Linked DNA regions of Arabidopsis thaliana. The protein of the gene in region 1 purifies or fractionates together with the protein of each later gene. This does not show direct contact. Each region holds a gene or a part of one and is shown on either strand. Other genes may lie near its edges. The genes, in order: CAM7, CDPK6 and ROC2.

Region 1 (5,716 bases):
TACTAACGTTAAAATCGCCTAGACCAACGTTTGGACATCAATATAGAATATCAGGTTACATCAATGTATCAAATTCAATATGAAATATCAAGATACCATAACAATAATACAGAAATATCAAATTCAATATGAAAATCTGATTTTTGCTTTACTATTAGCAGAAAATTCATGATCTGGACATAAGTAGTTAGTAGATTAGCCTAAGTTAGTAAAAATTAAGTTACAAACCTAAAAAACAAATTTGTCACAAAACTAGAATTTTTTTATTTTTTGGAATACGGGTTAAATCTTTAATTTATTATTTTTAGCACCACTTATCAAATCAGTCTGATTAGAAAAGATTATATAAAATCAAAAAATATTTTGTGGTATAGTGCTACTTAATAATAATTGTAAACTATAAAAATAATTGATGACAATTATATAAATTTTTTAAAAATCGTAAAATCAACGCAATTGGCGGGAAATTTTTCTACAAAAATTTTCTACTAAATTACGGAAAAACCGTAAAATCATTCTCAATCGTCTACTAATATTTATTGTCTAACCATTTTCTTTCTTGTGTTATAATTTTGAAATGTGATAAAATAAAGAGAATTTATAATAAATGATTATAGATTTGAAAAGAATGTACAAACTAACCTTGAGTCACAGTAGCTTGTCGGAAACATATTGGAGAACACATGTAATTACATAAATATCCTTTGTAACATGTTTTTTTTCCGAAATACATGCGATAACATAATATCTCTTTTTATCTTGTTATTTTCTCTTATTACATAGTATTTATAAAAAGCACATGGTATTTTATGGAAAAAACATTCTATTCAGTTTAATATCTCTTTTTATCATGATATTTTGTAGTAATACACATTTTTTATTAAGATCACACGTGATTTCTTTAAAAATATATTCTTATTTTTTAGTAATACACGGTTTTATTAAAATCACATATAAATTTTTTTTAAGGATTATGTTCATGTAAGAAAATTTCATAATAATGTTTTTTCTTAAAAATTCATGACGTTTTTTTAAATAGCATGTTTTAAAACTAAATATAACATGTGAAATTTTAATGTTACATGTTATTTTGAAAAATTACACGAATGTGTTTCGTTTACAGTTCATCTTACAACAAATGAAAGGTAGCTTTGTTATTTCATTTCTTCCGACAACATGGGTCCATGGTTATTTTGTAACAAAAAACTTTCTCTCTACTAGTTTCTTAATTTGTATGTTTTATTTGGTTATCTAATATTACCCTAAAATAAACTTAGCAAATAGAAAATGAATTTTATCAAATTGCCTACACCAATGTTTGGATATCAATGTATAATATCAGGTTACATCAATATATATCATACCAAGATACCATAACAATAATACAAAAATATCAAATTCAAAACTATTAGCAGAAAGTTCATGATCTGGACATAAGTAGTTAGTAGATTAGCCTAAAATAGTAAAAACTAAGTTGCAAACCTAAAAAACAAATTTCTCCCAAAACTAGAATTTCTTAATTTTTTGGTCTGAGAAATTAAAAGAGAAAGACGTTTAGGAGGGCAAAATCGTCAATTCAAAAATACCTCATTTTACCTGTAGCTGGTGAGATCTCATTTTATAAAGGAGAAGGAACATTCACTCTCACGCGCTTCAACTTTCTCCAGAAACAAGAAAATATCACAGCAAAAATTTTCTCGAGAAAATCCGAAGAAGACAAAAAAAATGGCGGATCAGCTAACCGATGACCAGATCTCCGAGTTCAAGGAAGCTTTTAGCCTATTCGACAAAGACGGAGATGGTCTCTTCTTCTTCTTCTTCTTCTTCTTCTTCTCTCAGATCTCTTTCTCTTGTCGTTTTTTTTTTAGATTTCTTCGCGGTGATCGTGAATCTCTGCACATTTCGTTTATTGTTTCATGTGATTTGAAGAACGATCTCGTTTTGATTCGTTCAGTCTTGCTCACATCTCCAGAGTGTTTAGGGTTGATTTTTGCTTCTATAGAAGGATCTAGAATATGTAGAATCTCCTTTAGTATATTCGTTGATGATTACTAAGATTTGTAGTTATGGAATCTTGTTTAATTAGGTTATTCATCATATTCTAGATCCTACATTGGAATCGTACATTGGAATCTAGTTGTTTCTCTGTGATTTACTATGATTCTGAACAAATCCTGTGATTATAATCATGCGGATTTGTACGTTCTCACAAAATTTAGTGGCATTGTGGTTTTAAGATTCAATTGTAACATGTAGATTTATCTGCAGATGTTTATACTCAAAATCTAAAAAACGAAATTTGGTTTATTGTGTGATGTTGCCAAATAGAAAAATAGAGAAAGAAGTTGATAATATCATCTCTGTTGTTCTTCTTTACAATAGTTGAGAACTTGCAACGGTGTGCATTTTGTGATGCTTATTGGCAATACCATCATATTTAGAACATTGTGCATTTCCTGGCCTTTGATTAGAAAGAGGCTTTAAATGTTGCTTGGTGGTTTGTGTGCAAAAAGTTTCTTTGTTAACTTGGTAGATGTTTCCCGAACAATCAGTTTTACTTGTCGTATACTATGATTGGGGTTTAAGAGTATTTTACTAAGAGCATTTTTGAGCTTTCTTGTGAGAATAGGTGCATTTCCTGGCCTTTGATTACTAAGAGAATAACATCATATTTAGAACATTGTGCATTTCCTGGCCTTTGATTACTAAGAGAATACCATCATATTTAGAACATTGTGCATTTCCTGGCCTTTGATTAGAAAGAGGCTTTAAATGTTGCTTGGTGGTTTGTGTGCAAGAAGTTTCTTTGTTAACTTGGTAGATGATTTCCGAACAATCAGTTTTACTTGTCGAATCGTCGTCCTTTTAAATGAGATATACTATGATTGGGGTTAGTAGTGTAAGGATATTTTACTAAGAGCATTTTTGAGCTTTCTTGCATTTGAAAACTTGACATATTACTTGTGTTTAAGATAATTGGTTTATATATCTTCCTGATCTTGTTGACAATATTAGTGTTCATAAAGTTATACTCGGAACTCTTGCGTTACAAAATCTGAAGTTGTGTCCAATTTTGGTTTGATTGCAGGTTGTATCACCACAAAGGAGCTTGGGACTGTGATGAGATCACTTGGGCAGAACCCGACAGAAGCCGAGCTCCAGGACATGATCAACGAAGTGGATGCAGACGGGAACGGGACAATAGATTTCCCAGAGTTCCTGAACCTAATGGCACGTAAGATGAAAGACACTGATTCAGAGGAAGAGCTTAAGGAAGCCTTCAGGGTTTTTGACAAGGACCAGAACGGTTTCATCTCGGCGGCTGAGCTTCGTCACGTGATGACAAATCTTGGGGAGAAGTTGACGGATGAGGAAGTCGATGAGATGATCCGAGAGGCTGACGTCGATGGTGATGGTCAGATCAACTATGAAGAGTTCGTCAAAGTCATGATGGCAAAGTGAGATTCTTCTTATCCCTCGAAATCCTAAGCATGTTTTTCTTTTACATCTTTAAAACTGAGAAAAGTAATTTATTGAACCAAAAGAAACAGAGAGATTTGCTTCCTTGTTTGTTTTGTTGATCGTGATTTTTTGGTAACGTTGCTTCTTCTTTGCCTTTTGGTTTTGTTATTGTCCGTGACGTTTGAACTCATAATTTGCTTTAGTCTCTCGAGTCATGACCACTTGATGATGTTATTTTCTCTTTTCTCTAAAATATTGCAGTTTATTGAGATCGACTAATTATATCCATTACGTGGAGAAATAATTGCTTACTAGTTGCAAAAACGTGCACTGTAATTGTTTAAAATTTAGTGTCTTTGCAAGAACAAAGTAGTAGTAAAAGTTCTTGGGATCAAACATTTTCTATTTCAAATACCCACTTAAGGCCCAATGGTATGGTTGATAAGGCTGTTAAGGTTGTGAGGGTTTATTAGCTGATGAAGGCCTATCTTGTGAGTAATAGTACTGTCAAACTACTCCATCTTGTGTGGTTCTCCCCTAGATTATATTTGAAAAAAAACTAATTTATCTACGTATAGACATTTTTCTTACTATAACATTAGCTCTAATTTGAATTTGATATTTGGATTTATAATACACATAAACGTATATAATAGTTTGTTCTATATGTTTTTTATTTAATTTTATTTTATATGTTTATTTAATTATAGATATAAATTTTCCTCAATTGTTTAATTTTTTTCTATATTAAAATTGAATTATATTTTATTTTATGCAAAATCAACTTTTAGTATTTACAAGTTAGTCATTAAAGTTATATTTATAACAATTATTATAATTTCCACTATACTAGTCATAGACTCATAGTTCTAGTATTAGTATCAACTATATACTAATAGAACCATAAATTTGTTTGTTTTTTGTTTTTTTAATAAATCTTATCGACTGATCCGGTCGGCCCGTATAAACTATAAGTTTGTTTTTATAGAGTTTTTCTAATTTAGTTATTGTCAATTTAACATTCAAGCTCATTAAGTTTTCTTTAGTAATATGTAAGACTCTTTTTATGCAATTCAGTTCATATATCTCTCTTCTCTTTTTTTTTTTTTTGTGACGAACTAAGAAACAAAAAAGAATTGACATTTTACAGTTAATTCTATTATCTTCTTCATTTCTAAACCCCAAAGAAAGAAGGAACCAACTACTCGGTTTTTATTGTTTCTTGTTCTCAGTCATGTTTGGGAATGCGCAAGTAAATTGATAAAGAAAAGGAAGAAGAAGAAGAAGAAAAAGAAAAAGAAGAAGACCAAAAATGCTAAAAGGAATGAGAAAGAATTGATCCAGCATAACCCCTCACAGCCCGAGTCACATCGCGTTCCTAGCCGTTTGAATCTCCTCTGCCACCGCTCTCATTCTTGCTCGATTCTATAGCTCACTGTACTTGCTGATCAAGAACTAACTTAAAACAATGAAGACGAAGAATAGTGAAAGCTAATAGTAGATAACTTGCATATATCGAGGGATTGTTTAAAAAACATAATAATAACCTTGTATATAGGCTACGTAATGGCATAAAGAAAAGATTGGTTGGTGGATTACCATGCGAGCCGCTGGTAGAGGACTAACAATTATGTACTTGGATTCAAACCATTTAGTTTAGTCCTAAGAAAAAAAATTAAGTTACCAAGTTTATCTCTAGGAATTTAGAATTTTAACAGTTTTATAGATTTATATTCATCTTGTAAACGATAAACGATAAACAAAACCAGTAGTGTCTCCAACCGCCGAAATGTTAACAATTAAACGATAAACATAGATTTTTTTTTCTATGATCAATTTTAGAAAAATAAAATTTACAAACAAGTATTTTAATTATTAAACTTTGAGAGAATGAAATGTAATAAAGAAAAGAAAAAAAAATTAGAAAATTTTTTTTGACCCACGTCTCCCTCTCAAATGCTCTCTTTCTCTTTATTTAAATCTGTTACACCTCTCTTTCTCTCTCACCAAACAAAAACTTTTTCGAATATTTTAGTAATTATAAATAGTAATTGTACTACTTCTCCAATTAAGTTACGGAAATGTACTGTTTTCTAAACAAACTCAAAGAAAAAGGTTAAAAAAATTAAAGAAACAAAAACTATAACACACTAAACAGTCTTGTAACAACTGAGAGATAAAAGTAGAAAAACAAATGAGTTAAAATCTATCAAAATGTTTAACCATATATAATGTCATGATAATATCTCGTAAG
Region 2 (5,315 bases), on another chromosome or scaffold:
AAATTCTGAAGATATGTTCTCAGGTCTTGTCTTTAGTTTTGTGATCAAATTCTTTTCTACTTGAGCTCATTTCAGTATGTATATTCTGCAGCCGTGTTTTAGGGGCTTCATCTTTGTTACTTGTCTTTTCCTACCCACTTATGAAGAGGTTTACATTTTGGGTAATTTAAATCTATTCTGGCTTCTCAAAGTTAGACATTATATATTTTCTGATTTTCTTATGATTGATTCGTTTTTATAATTGCAGCCTCAAGCCTTTTTAGGTTTGACCATAAACTGGGGAGCATTGTTAGGATGGACTGCAGTTAAAGGAAGCATAGCACCATCTATTGTACTCCCTCTCTATCTCTCCGGAGTCTGCTGGACCCTTGTTTATGATACTATTTATGCACATCAGGTATATTCACTTTTTATTTTTTAGCTTCAAAATCTATTTGATTATGACCAGTAGCAAAGTAGTTAATCTCAATGTGTGCATATTGCTTGCTTTGTTTTCTTTTTCTAGCTTCACCACCACAGATTTCTTTTTCAGCTTTTGTTTCATGTCTCATGCAAATGCATCCATTTCGATGTTCGACTTTTGTCAATCATAAAGAAGAAAATTACCCTGATCTCCCACCTTTTCCATCTGATTTCTATACTTTAAGTGAAGAGTTAGCCCCATAAAAGTCTTCCCGTTTGCAACAGAAGTGAGAAAAGAAAGTTACCTTTGTGGCCCATTGAAAATGAAATAGTATATGCCACAAGCTACGAACCCAAAATTTCAGCTCAAGTTCAGTTTTTATGCAAGTAATTTTGAGATATTCTAGGTTAAATCATTTTTTTTCCATGGACTAATGTCTAATATATTGTGTCTCCAGGACAAAGAAGATGATGTAAAAGTTGGTGTTAAGTCAACAGCCCTTAGATTCGGTGATAATACAAAGCTTTGGTTAACTGGATTTGGCACAGCATCCATAGGTTTTCTTGCACTTTCTGGATTCAGTGCAGATCTCGGTACTCAATAAACTTTACAAGGACTCATTTGTGATTCCTAATTCCATTTACTGTCTTTTGATTCTTTTTGTTTCTCGCTCTAATGATTAAGGGTGGCAATATTACGCATCACTGGCCGCTGCATCAGGACAGTTAGGATGGCAAATAGGGACAGCTGACTTATCATCTGGTGCTGACTGCAGTAGAAAGTATGAAAATTTGGGTTTATCTTTTGTACTCTTTCACAATCCAATTATGTGATTTGCCTTGGAAAACCTAATAGTGTTTTTATATCTGTACAGATTTGTGTCGAACAAGTGGTTTGGTGCTATTATATTTAGTGGAGTTGTACTTGGAAGAAGTTTTCAATAAAGACTCTCTCTCTGTCAACGAATGAGGATGAAGCTGTAGTGTGAGGAACCTATATATGAAGAATTGAAGTAGACTTTTGAGACACACTGTAAGTGAAACAGAGGACATGGTCTTGCTACAAAGTGGGTCTCCTTCAGGATTGAAATGATCAAGGAGCCATTGCCAGAAAAGCTGAAACTTAACTCTTTTAGATTAGTGACTAGTTACTACTGGTTCTTGTAAAAGAAGCTATTGTTGTTGTTTGGGATCCATGTCTTTTCTTCCAGGAGGTAGTTTGGCTGTATGTATACAATGATCATGACCTTCTGGTCAAACAAGAGGCTTTACTTTTGGCTTTTATAGTTGACATACGCAATATCATTGATTTTGTAACCTAAAGGATGTTAATAACTTTTCCTTTTTCAATCTCAAATTGCAAAAGATTAACATTGAATTAGCCGTGTGATTGATTGGAGAAGTGGAAACAACTAATATGCAGAAGATTTCCACATCCACTAATTTATCTTCCAATGGGACAAATACTTTTGTTTATACGCGGTTCAACTACGTACCAATAAAAACACGCCACGTGGTCATCGTGTCTGATCTCAGACATTAAAAAGCCATAAGAATCGGAGATACAATCTTTCTCTCTCGATTGACTTTATTGACTGAGAGAAAGCTTTTGACAATGGGCCACAGACACAGCAAGTCCAAATCCTCCGATCCGCCACCGTCCTCCTCCTCCTCTTCCTCCGGCAACGTAGTCCACCATGTTAAACCTGCCGGAGAACGCCGCGGATCATCCGGTTCCGGAACCGTCGGATCGTCAGGCTCCGGAACAGGCGGATCTCGTTCCACCACATCTACTCAGCAGAATGGTCGGATCTTAGGTCGGCCGATGGAGGAAGTACGGAGAACCTATGAGTTTGGTCGTGAGCTTGGTCGTGGCCAGTTTGGTGTCACGTACCTCGTAACTCACAAAGAGACGAAACAACAGGTCGCTTGCAAGTCAATCCCTACGCGCCGCCTTGTTCACAAAGACGACATTGAAGATGTTCGCCGTGAAGTCCAGATTATGCACCATCTCAGCGGTCACCGGTAAATCTCTTTTTTTGTATCTCACTGGAAAATGCTTCTTTGACATTTTCCGAAATCGAATCTGAAACGCCTTTTGTTGGAATATTGGTGAATATTTAGACATAGGATTCGTTTTCTATATTAATGAATGGTTTGCATCATATGTGGATGAAAAGTTTGGTGGTCCTATGTTAAACTCTTGAAAAAGTTTCCCTTTTTGCATATTTATATTTACCTGAGTTTCAAATTGGTGAGTTGATTATAGGAACATAGTGGACTTGAAGGGAGCCTACGAGGACAGACACTCTGTGAATCTGATAATGGAGTTGTGTGAAGGAGGGGAATTGTTCGATAGGATCATTTCTAAAGGTCTTTACTCAGAGAGAGCTGCTGCGGATTTGTGTAGGCAGATGGTGATGGTTGTGCATAGTTGTCATTCTATGGGTGTAATGCACCGAGACTTGAAGCCCGAAAACTTTCTCTTTCTTAGTAAAGATGAGAACTCACCATTGAAAGCTACAGACTTTGGTCTCTCTGTCTTCTTCAAGCCAGGTTTGAACAGCCTCTATCCTTCCCTATTTGATTTCTATAGACAATTTATCCCTCTAATGAAGTTGATCCATTAATGCAGGTGATAAGTTTAAGGATCTTGTTGGAAGTGCATACTATGTTGCCCCAGAAGTTCTAAAACGGAACTATGGACCAGAGGCTGATATCTGGAGTGCTGGTGTGATTCTATACATCCTTCTCAGTGGTGTTCCGCCTTTCTGGGGAGGTATTGTCTTGATCTTATTTGAGAAGAGAATTTGGTTTCACTGTTTAAATGTTGGACTGGAATGTATAGTCACGTTCTTTCTGTTGTGCAGAAAATGAAACGGGGATCTTTGATGCCATTCTTCAAGGGCAACTTGATTTTTCAGCTGATCCATGGCCAGCACTATCAGATGGTGCCAAAGATCTTGTGAGGAAAATGTTAAAATATGACCCTAAAGATCGGCTTACAGCTGCGGAAGTGCTAAGTAAGACCCCTTTATAACATGTTTTGATGAATAAATTGATGAAAACACCTTCTTTTATCCAATTTTAATAACGTTTTGATACATACGCAGATCATCCGTGGATTAGAGAAGATGGGGAGGCATCAGACAAACCGCTTGACAATGCGGTGTTATCCAGGATGAAACAATTCCGGGCGATGAACAAACTAAAAAAAATGGCCCTGAAGGTAATTAAAACACTGATTGAAACAGTCTTACCATCACTATTGTAGTTTATGTAGTCTTCTTGTTCTAAAGCCAATCTTTGGTTTTCGTTTTGCAATTTCAGGTTATCGCTGAGAACCTTTCTGAAGAAGAAATCATTGGTCTTAAAGAGATGTTCAAATCTCTAGACACTGATAACAATGGAATAGTCACCTTGGAGGAATTGAGAACCGGTCTCCCAAAACTTGGTTCAAAGATCTCTGAAGCTGAAATAAGGCAGTTAATGGAAGCAGTAAGTCTATCACAATCCACTACTTTGATGTCAAAGCAATAATGCTTATGATGCTTTGTTTCTTTTAGGCTGATATGGATGGAGATGGATCAATTGATTACTTGGAGTTTATATCAGCCACAATGCATATGAACAGAATCGAACGTGAGGATCACTTGTACACCGCATTCCAGTTCTTTGACAATGACAACAGCGGGTAAAACATTGTTCTTTAGCTCTCTATTTCTTTCTTTAACAAGCTATAAATAAAGTCTCACTCTTTGATCTTGATTTGTGATATTAGCTACATAACAATGGAAGAGCTAGAGCTAGCCATGAAGAAATACAACATGGGTGATGATAAATCCATCAAAGAGATCATTGCTGAAGTAGACACCGATCGTGTAAGTATACGTAAATCTCTGGTTTCGTCCAATTCATACATCTGTAAGTATACGTGTAAGTTTAACACTCTCTTCTCATCTTTGTATTCGAATCTTTAGGACGGAAAAATCAACTACGAAGAATTTGTAGCGATGATGAAGAAGGGAAATCCAGAATTGGTGCCAAACCGACGCAGAATGTGAGAGATCTTTTGATGTTGTTTGTTTGTTTTTGGTTATCACTTTACTCAAACTTTGTGTTTCTGTTACAATCAATTATTTTGTTTCCTGCAATCTCTTTTTATCAACACAACATAAAAAATACTTTGAGATCAGAAAGCCATTTGCAGGTTTGGTTAATGACTTATGAGAGATTCAATATATAATAATTACAGGTTGATTCTTGCATGATTTGAAGCTGAAATTCACTTAAAAAATTATAGAATGATAATCTTAACCCTTACAAACAAATTTGAGATTATATCTAATCAAGGCAATAAAAAAATAAGCAAGGTGCAGTAGGAGGGATTAGAAGTTTCAAATCCGATTTTTATACATGAAAAATGACGAAATCTAATAATCTTGGTGACATTTTCTCACAGAGAAATCGGACAACTAAAATGAGTAAAAAAAATTAAAAGAACGAATAAAAAATCAACTGAGATATATATAAAAAAAAAACTGGAAGAAGAAGAAGGACCGCGAGCTTTGGATCGAATTTGTTAAATTTTTCTTCTCTCGATAATAAAAACAACAAATGATCGTTGATCGTTTTTCTCTAGATTCGATTCCGATTCCAAAGAACTAGTCTCCGGCGTGTAATCTCTGATCGTTGAAGATCCAAGCTACGCCGCATCTTACTCGCCGGCGGCTTGAATCATGGTATGTCGCTCCCTTCTCTCGACCGATACGTCGGAAATCTTAAACCCCTAGATTCCTTATTGCTACTCCTGCGGAATTACAATTGTTGTACTGTGATGATGTGAATAGAAATGGTGAGAGAATTCTGAAAATGAATGATGCCAATATTCATTGAATTTAGCTTCTGATTCT
Region 3 (4,116 bases), 5.1 Mb from region 1:
ATATAATGGGCCTAAATCTTAATATGGGCTTTTTGATCTGTTACTGAAAGTTTTTTCTTTTTTTTTTCTTTTTGGACAACTGTTATTGAAAGCAAAAATGTAAAATAGTGAAATAAGAGGGCAAAACGAAGAAAACATCTCTCTGTCTAAAACAAGCAAATAAATGGAACGAAATCCATACCAAGAACAACATTGACGCCGGGTATATATTTCCGTCAGCAGATTCTCCATCTATGGCTCAAACAAATAGATCCAAAATCAAATGAATATGTTTTGGAAATAAATATTATATTTTGTTTCAATGCAAAATTCCAATGATTTGAAGTGAAGTGATTTGATGAAGGAGTTGAAGTGATTTGAGTTTAGATAAAAATTTAGATGATTTTGACGATTTAAAATTTTAGAGAGTTTTGACAATTTTTTAAAATGACATATAAAATAACACATAAGATTAAAAGAGACATTTACGAATAATATTAAAGACATTGAGTTATTTTATGAAATCAATAATGAAACTAATGAAATGACGATTTGGATAATCACCGGACCATTATATAATTTCATTATTTCAGAATAGTGATTTGGATAATCACCGGATAATTAATACTATTATCTAAGTAAAATAATTATGTGAATTTCAGCATAAACTACTAAAATTGCCATTGTGATTTTTCAAAAATAATTTAAATTTGATTAACTAGATGTTAAAATGAGTAATCGGTTCATGGATTAAATCACTTTATAAAATGATCTACCTCCATCATAACCTATTAGATTGAAAGATAGGTTCAGAGTTTGTGCAAAAAAATCTATAGCATACACATCTGAACTATTTCTCTTTGGTCAAAGAATCCTAAGTCTATTTCTGGTATTAAAGATGACATCCGAAAAGCCCTTTTAAAAAGATATTCAGGAATCAGTATAAGATATTCTGAGGGAAGTCAATCAGAAAATGATATTTGGTTAGCTCTGGTGGTCAATATAATTGAAACCCTCAACAGTCCAACCATAATTGAAAACATTTGTTTTTCCTAATCGATGATTTCCACGTTTTACATTAAAATTGTCTATTTCTAACACTGTAGAGTGATTAGTAGTATAAAGATAGTTTGAACGTCAAATATTATACTACATACTGTTTAGTGCTGACTCTTGTCCACCTTATAAACATCTGAAGTCAAAAGGATGCTGAAGTCATTAGAGTAAATATTGAGAGGAAGAAGTCTTATCGTCGCCCCATTTCACTTATCATTGGGTGAGATCGGTCTTGAAGAAAGAGAGTTAGAGAGGAAAAAGAAGAATCTTATTAGCTCTATAATATCTGATATTGCTTCTCATTTAGTTTTTCACTTTTTACATTAAGATTGGTTGTTTGTAACATTATGGAGTGGTTAATAGTATAAAGATAATCTGAATATTATAATATATAATGTAGAGTCTTGTCCACCTAATAACCATCTCTTCAAAAGCATTGTTCTATGATCTGATTTTTCGGAAAGACTCTGCACTTCTGTTGCACTTCTGTTGTTGGACACTTTCTCTTTGCTAATAAACCACTAACACAAGTCCAAGCGACCAGAGAATCCATTTCTTCTTGTTTTATTAGAGCATTCATAATAAGGCCAAGATTATAAATCATCCGAAAAGCCCAAGTGTCCTATGTAATTTATTTTCCAAAGCTCATTTAATTAGATCTAAGCAACTAGGTTCATATATATATAGTCTCTTGTAATGAACATCAAATAGTTAACTTTGAAAGCAATCTCAAAACATTGAGATTTATGTTGTTAAAGAGCTTATTAAGATAGCAACACGAGATTGAAATTAGATAGCTTATTAAAGCTTTAATTAGCTCACACGAACCAATGTGAAATGGGGTTTGTTGTTGGGTCCAAGTCCAACGAAACGATTATATTTCTTGGATGGTAGTTTTAATAATGGGCCTGAATCATATGGGCTTTTTGATGAGACTGTGACGGTAAGAAAATAAAAAAGGGCAAAACCGAGAAAACAGATCTCTCTGTCTCAACTCAAACAATCAAAAGCCCTAGTAAAACCCTAGCCCCCAAAGCCCTTGTGCCATTGAGCCGTTATATAAATCCTTCACTCGCTCCTTGAGAAGACGAATTTGAGATTGCCTCTGCAAAGGTACTTCATTTCGGTGAACCCAATTCATGTTTTCGATGATTTTTGCTTCTCTATTTCTTCGATTTTGCGTTTTATCGCGTTAAAAGCACATATCGAAGGCTTGCAGATAACGTATAATAAAAAACGCCTGCGAGCTCAATATTTGTGCAATATCCTAAAACCATCCATTTGAGGTTTCGATAAATCTCTGTGTTATAAGAATTTATCTTTTCTTATCGACAATTTCGATGGATGGGACATTTATTAATCGGTTTTATGATTTTTAACATTGTATGAGAAAATCTGAGTCAGATCTGAATAATTGAATCCTTATTCGTCTGCATTGATCGGAAAATAGTACCACTTGGGTTTTATCTAGTTTACTTTAAGGTGCTCATAGAGTGGTAATCTCACAATTGTTGTTGTTTGAACAATTTGGGACCTTTGTTTGCATGATTTAGTCTCTTATATACCAATTAGAATTTGGGACCATCTGCTGATTCATATCTTTGTAATTGACAGAGTAAAATGGCGAATCCTAAAGTCTTCTTCGACATCTTGATTGGTAAGATGAAGGCAGGGCGTGTTGTAATGGAGTTATTTGCAGATGTGACTCCGAGAACAGCTAATAATTTCCGTGCTTTGTGCACTGGGGAGAATGGTATTGGGAAAGCAGGGAAGGCTTTACACTACAAAGGCTCAGCCTTTCACCGTATAATCCCAGGGTTCATGTGTCAAGGTGGAGATTTCACTCGTGGGAATGGAACTGGAGGAGAATCTATTTACGGGTCTAAATTTGAAGATGAGAACTTCAAGTTGAAGCACACTGGTCCAGGGATTTTGTCTATGGCTAACTCTGGTCCCAACACTAATGGTTCTCAGTTCTTCATCTGCACAGAGAAGACTTCGTGGCTTGATGGGAAACATGTTGTTTTCGGGAAAGTTGTTGATGGATACAATGTGGTCAAGGCAATGGAGGATGTTGGCTCTGACATGGGAAATCCTTCTGAACGAGTTGTGATTGAAGATTGTGGTGAGCTCAAGAACCCAAGTTCATAAGTTCTTAAAACATTGGGTGGGTTGATCTTGACAGGTTATTCTATCATATGCTGTGAAGCAGAGACAGCATCTTAGCGTTAAGGTCAATCTAGTCTGTGATGCACTACTTTGGTTTTGACTATATCATATGAACCTTAGGAAGTGGTCCATCCTTGTAAGTTGTTTTCTTAAAACTCTTGTGTGAGAATAGGATGGATGATAATAATGGTTAGTTTCTTTATGAAGACATTTGGTTTTGTAGCTTTCTTATTTTGGTGTAGTTAATATGAATGAACCAAACTCTTCTTAGGACTCATTTGCGAATATGTATCCAAAATTGCTGACTTTTCGAATTGGGCAGATTTCACTTCATATGCAGAACAAGATAAACTTTCTGATCATGTGATGATAAATATTGTTTAGCCAACGCATCACACATTTCTTTGAGTAGTTTCTACTTATGGTTAAGTTTCAGCATCAATAGTCAATAGCCAACAATATTTGGACAGTCTTCTTTAAATACTCCAACAACTAGTTTGCCTTGGCAATTAATGTAACTTAAAGTCTAGCCAACTCTTTGGTATTAGCTTCGTTATTTTATACATTTCTTAAAACCATTTTATTCACATTTCTTGACCACTTGGATTCCAACATAGTGGCCAGCCATGCTGCACCACCTCGTCAAAATTACCACAATAATTTGATTTGGTCAAATCATCATTTTTTTGGAAAACAACAACAAAAAAACTTAAACTTTGTATAATAAGGACCCTGGGGTTAAAAGTATAATTATTACTATGTAACAAATCAAAGTCTAAGATGGAAAATACTATAATCCGTTGACTTAAATGTGCTAGAAAAAATAAAGAGGTCGAAGCCAGGTTATCATCGAATAAGACTTTTGCCGCAACCGTGAGAGATGTTCCTGTTTGTTTTTTCTTTTCTAAATGT

Evidence for each region.
Region 2: the proteins of CAM7 (region 1) and CDPK6 purify together in Arabidopsis thaliana (affinity purification with western blotting, with the first as the bait; one study listed by BioGRID). This does not show direct contact.
Region 3: the proteins of CAM7 (region 1) and ROC2 purify together in Arabidopsis thaliana (affinity purification with western blotting, with the first as the bait; one study listed by BioGRID). This does not show direct contact.

Annotation. Positions count from the first base shown.
Region 1 is NC_003074.8:15,662,365-15,668,080, reverse strand, and holds CAM7 (calmodulin 7), read left to right. Parts: upstream 1-1,611; 5' UTR 1,612-1,725; coding exon 1,726-1,801; exon of another isoform or gene 1,802-2,447; intron 2,448-2,600; exon of another isoform or gene 2,601-3,088; coding exon 3,089-3,458; coding exon of another isoform or gene 3,459-3,462; exon of another isoform or gene 3,463-3,949; intron 3,950-4,694; coding exon 4,695-4,893; 3' UTR 4,894-5,081; downstream 5,082-5,716. UniProt on the Arabidopsis thaliana protein: Calmodulin mediates the control of a large number of enzymes, ion channels and other proteins by Ca(2+). Among the enzymes to be stimulated by the calmodulin-Ca(2+) complex are a number of protein kinases and phosphatases. Activates MPK8 in vitro.
Region 2 is NC_003075.7:12,324,118-12,329,432, reverse strand, and holds CDPK6 (calcium-dependent protein kinase 6), read left to right. Parts: upstream 1-1,781; 5' UTR 1,782-2,017; coding exon 2,018-2,427; intron 2,428-2,671; coding exon 2,672-2,958; intron 2,959-3,037; coding exon 3,038-3,181; intron 3,182-3,272; coding exon 3,273-3,425; intron 3,426-3,515; coding exon 3,516-3,631; intron 3,632-3,732; coding exon 3,733-3,900; intron 3,901-3,968; coding exon 3,969-4,096; intron 4,097-4,183; coding exon 4,184-4,283; intron 4,284-4,382; coding exon 4,383-4,466; 3' UTR 4,467-4,675; downstream 4,676-5,315. Other genes in the region: PPT1 (polyprenyltransferase 1), read left to right, coding at 92-161, 248-397, 506-571, 861-996, 1,088-1,184, 1,278-1,347; TRH1 (Potassium transporter family protein), read left to right, coding at 5,142-5,144. UniProt on the Arabidopsis thaliana protein: May play a role in signal transduction pathways that involve calcium as a second messenger. Functions in abscisic acid (ABA) regulation of guard cell S-type anion- and Ca(2+)-permeable channels and stomatal closure.
Region 3 is NC_003074.8:20,806,057-20,810,172, reverse strand, and holds ROC2 (rotamase cyclophilin 2), read left to right. Parts: upstream 1-2,004; 5' UTR 2,005-2,148; exon of another isoform or gene 2,149-2,321; intron 2,322-2,649; 5' UTR 2,650-2,655; coding exon 2,656-3,186; 3' UTR 3,187-3,607; downstream 3,608-4,116. UniProt on the Arabidopsis thaliana protein: PPIases accelerate the folding of proteins. It catalyzes the cis-trans isomerization of proline imidic peptide bonds in oligopeptides.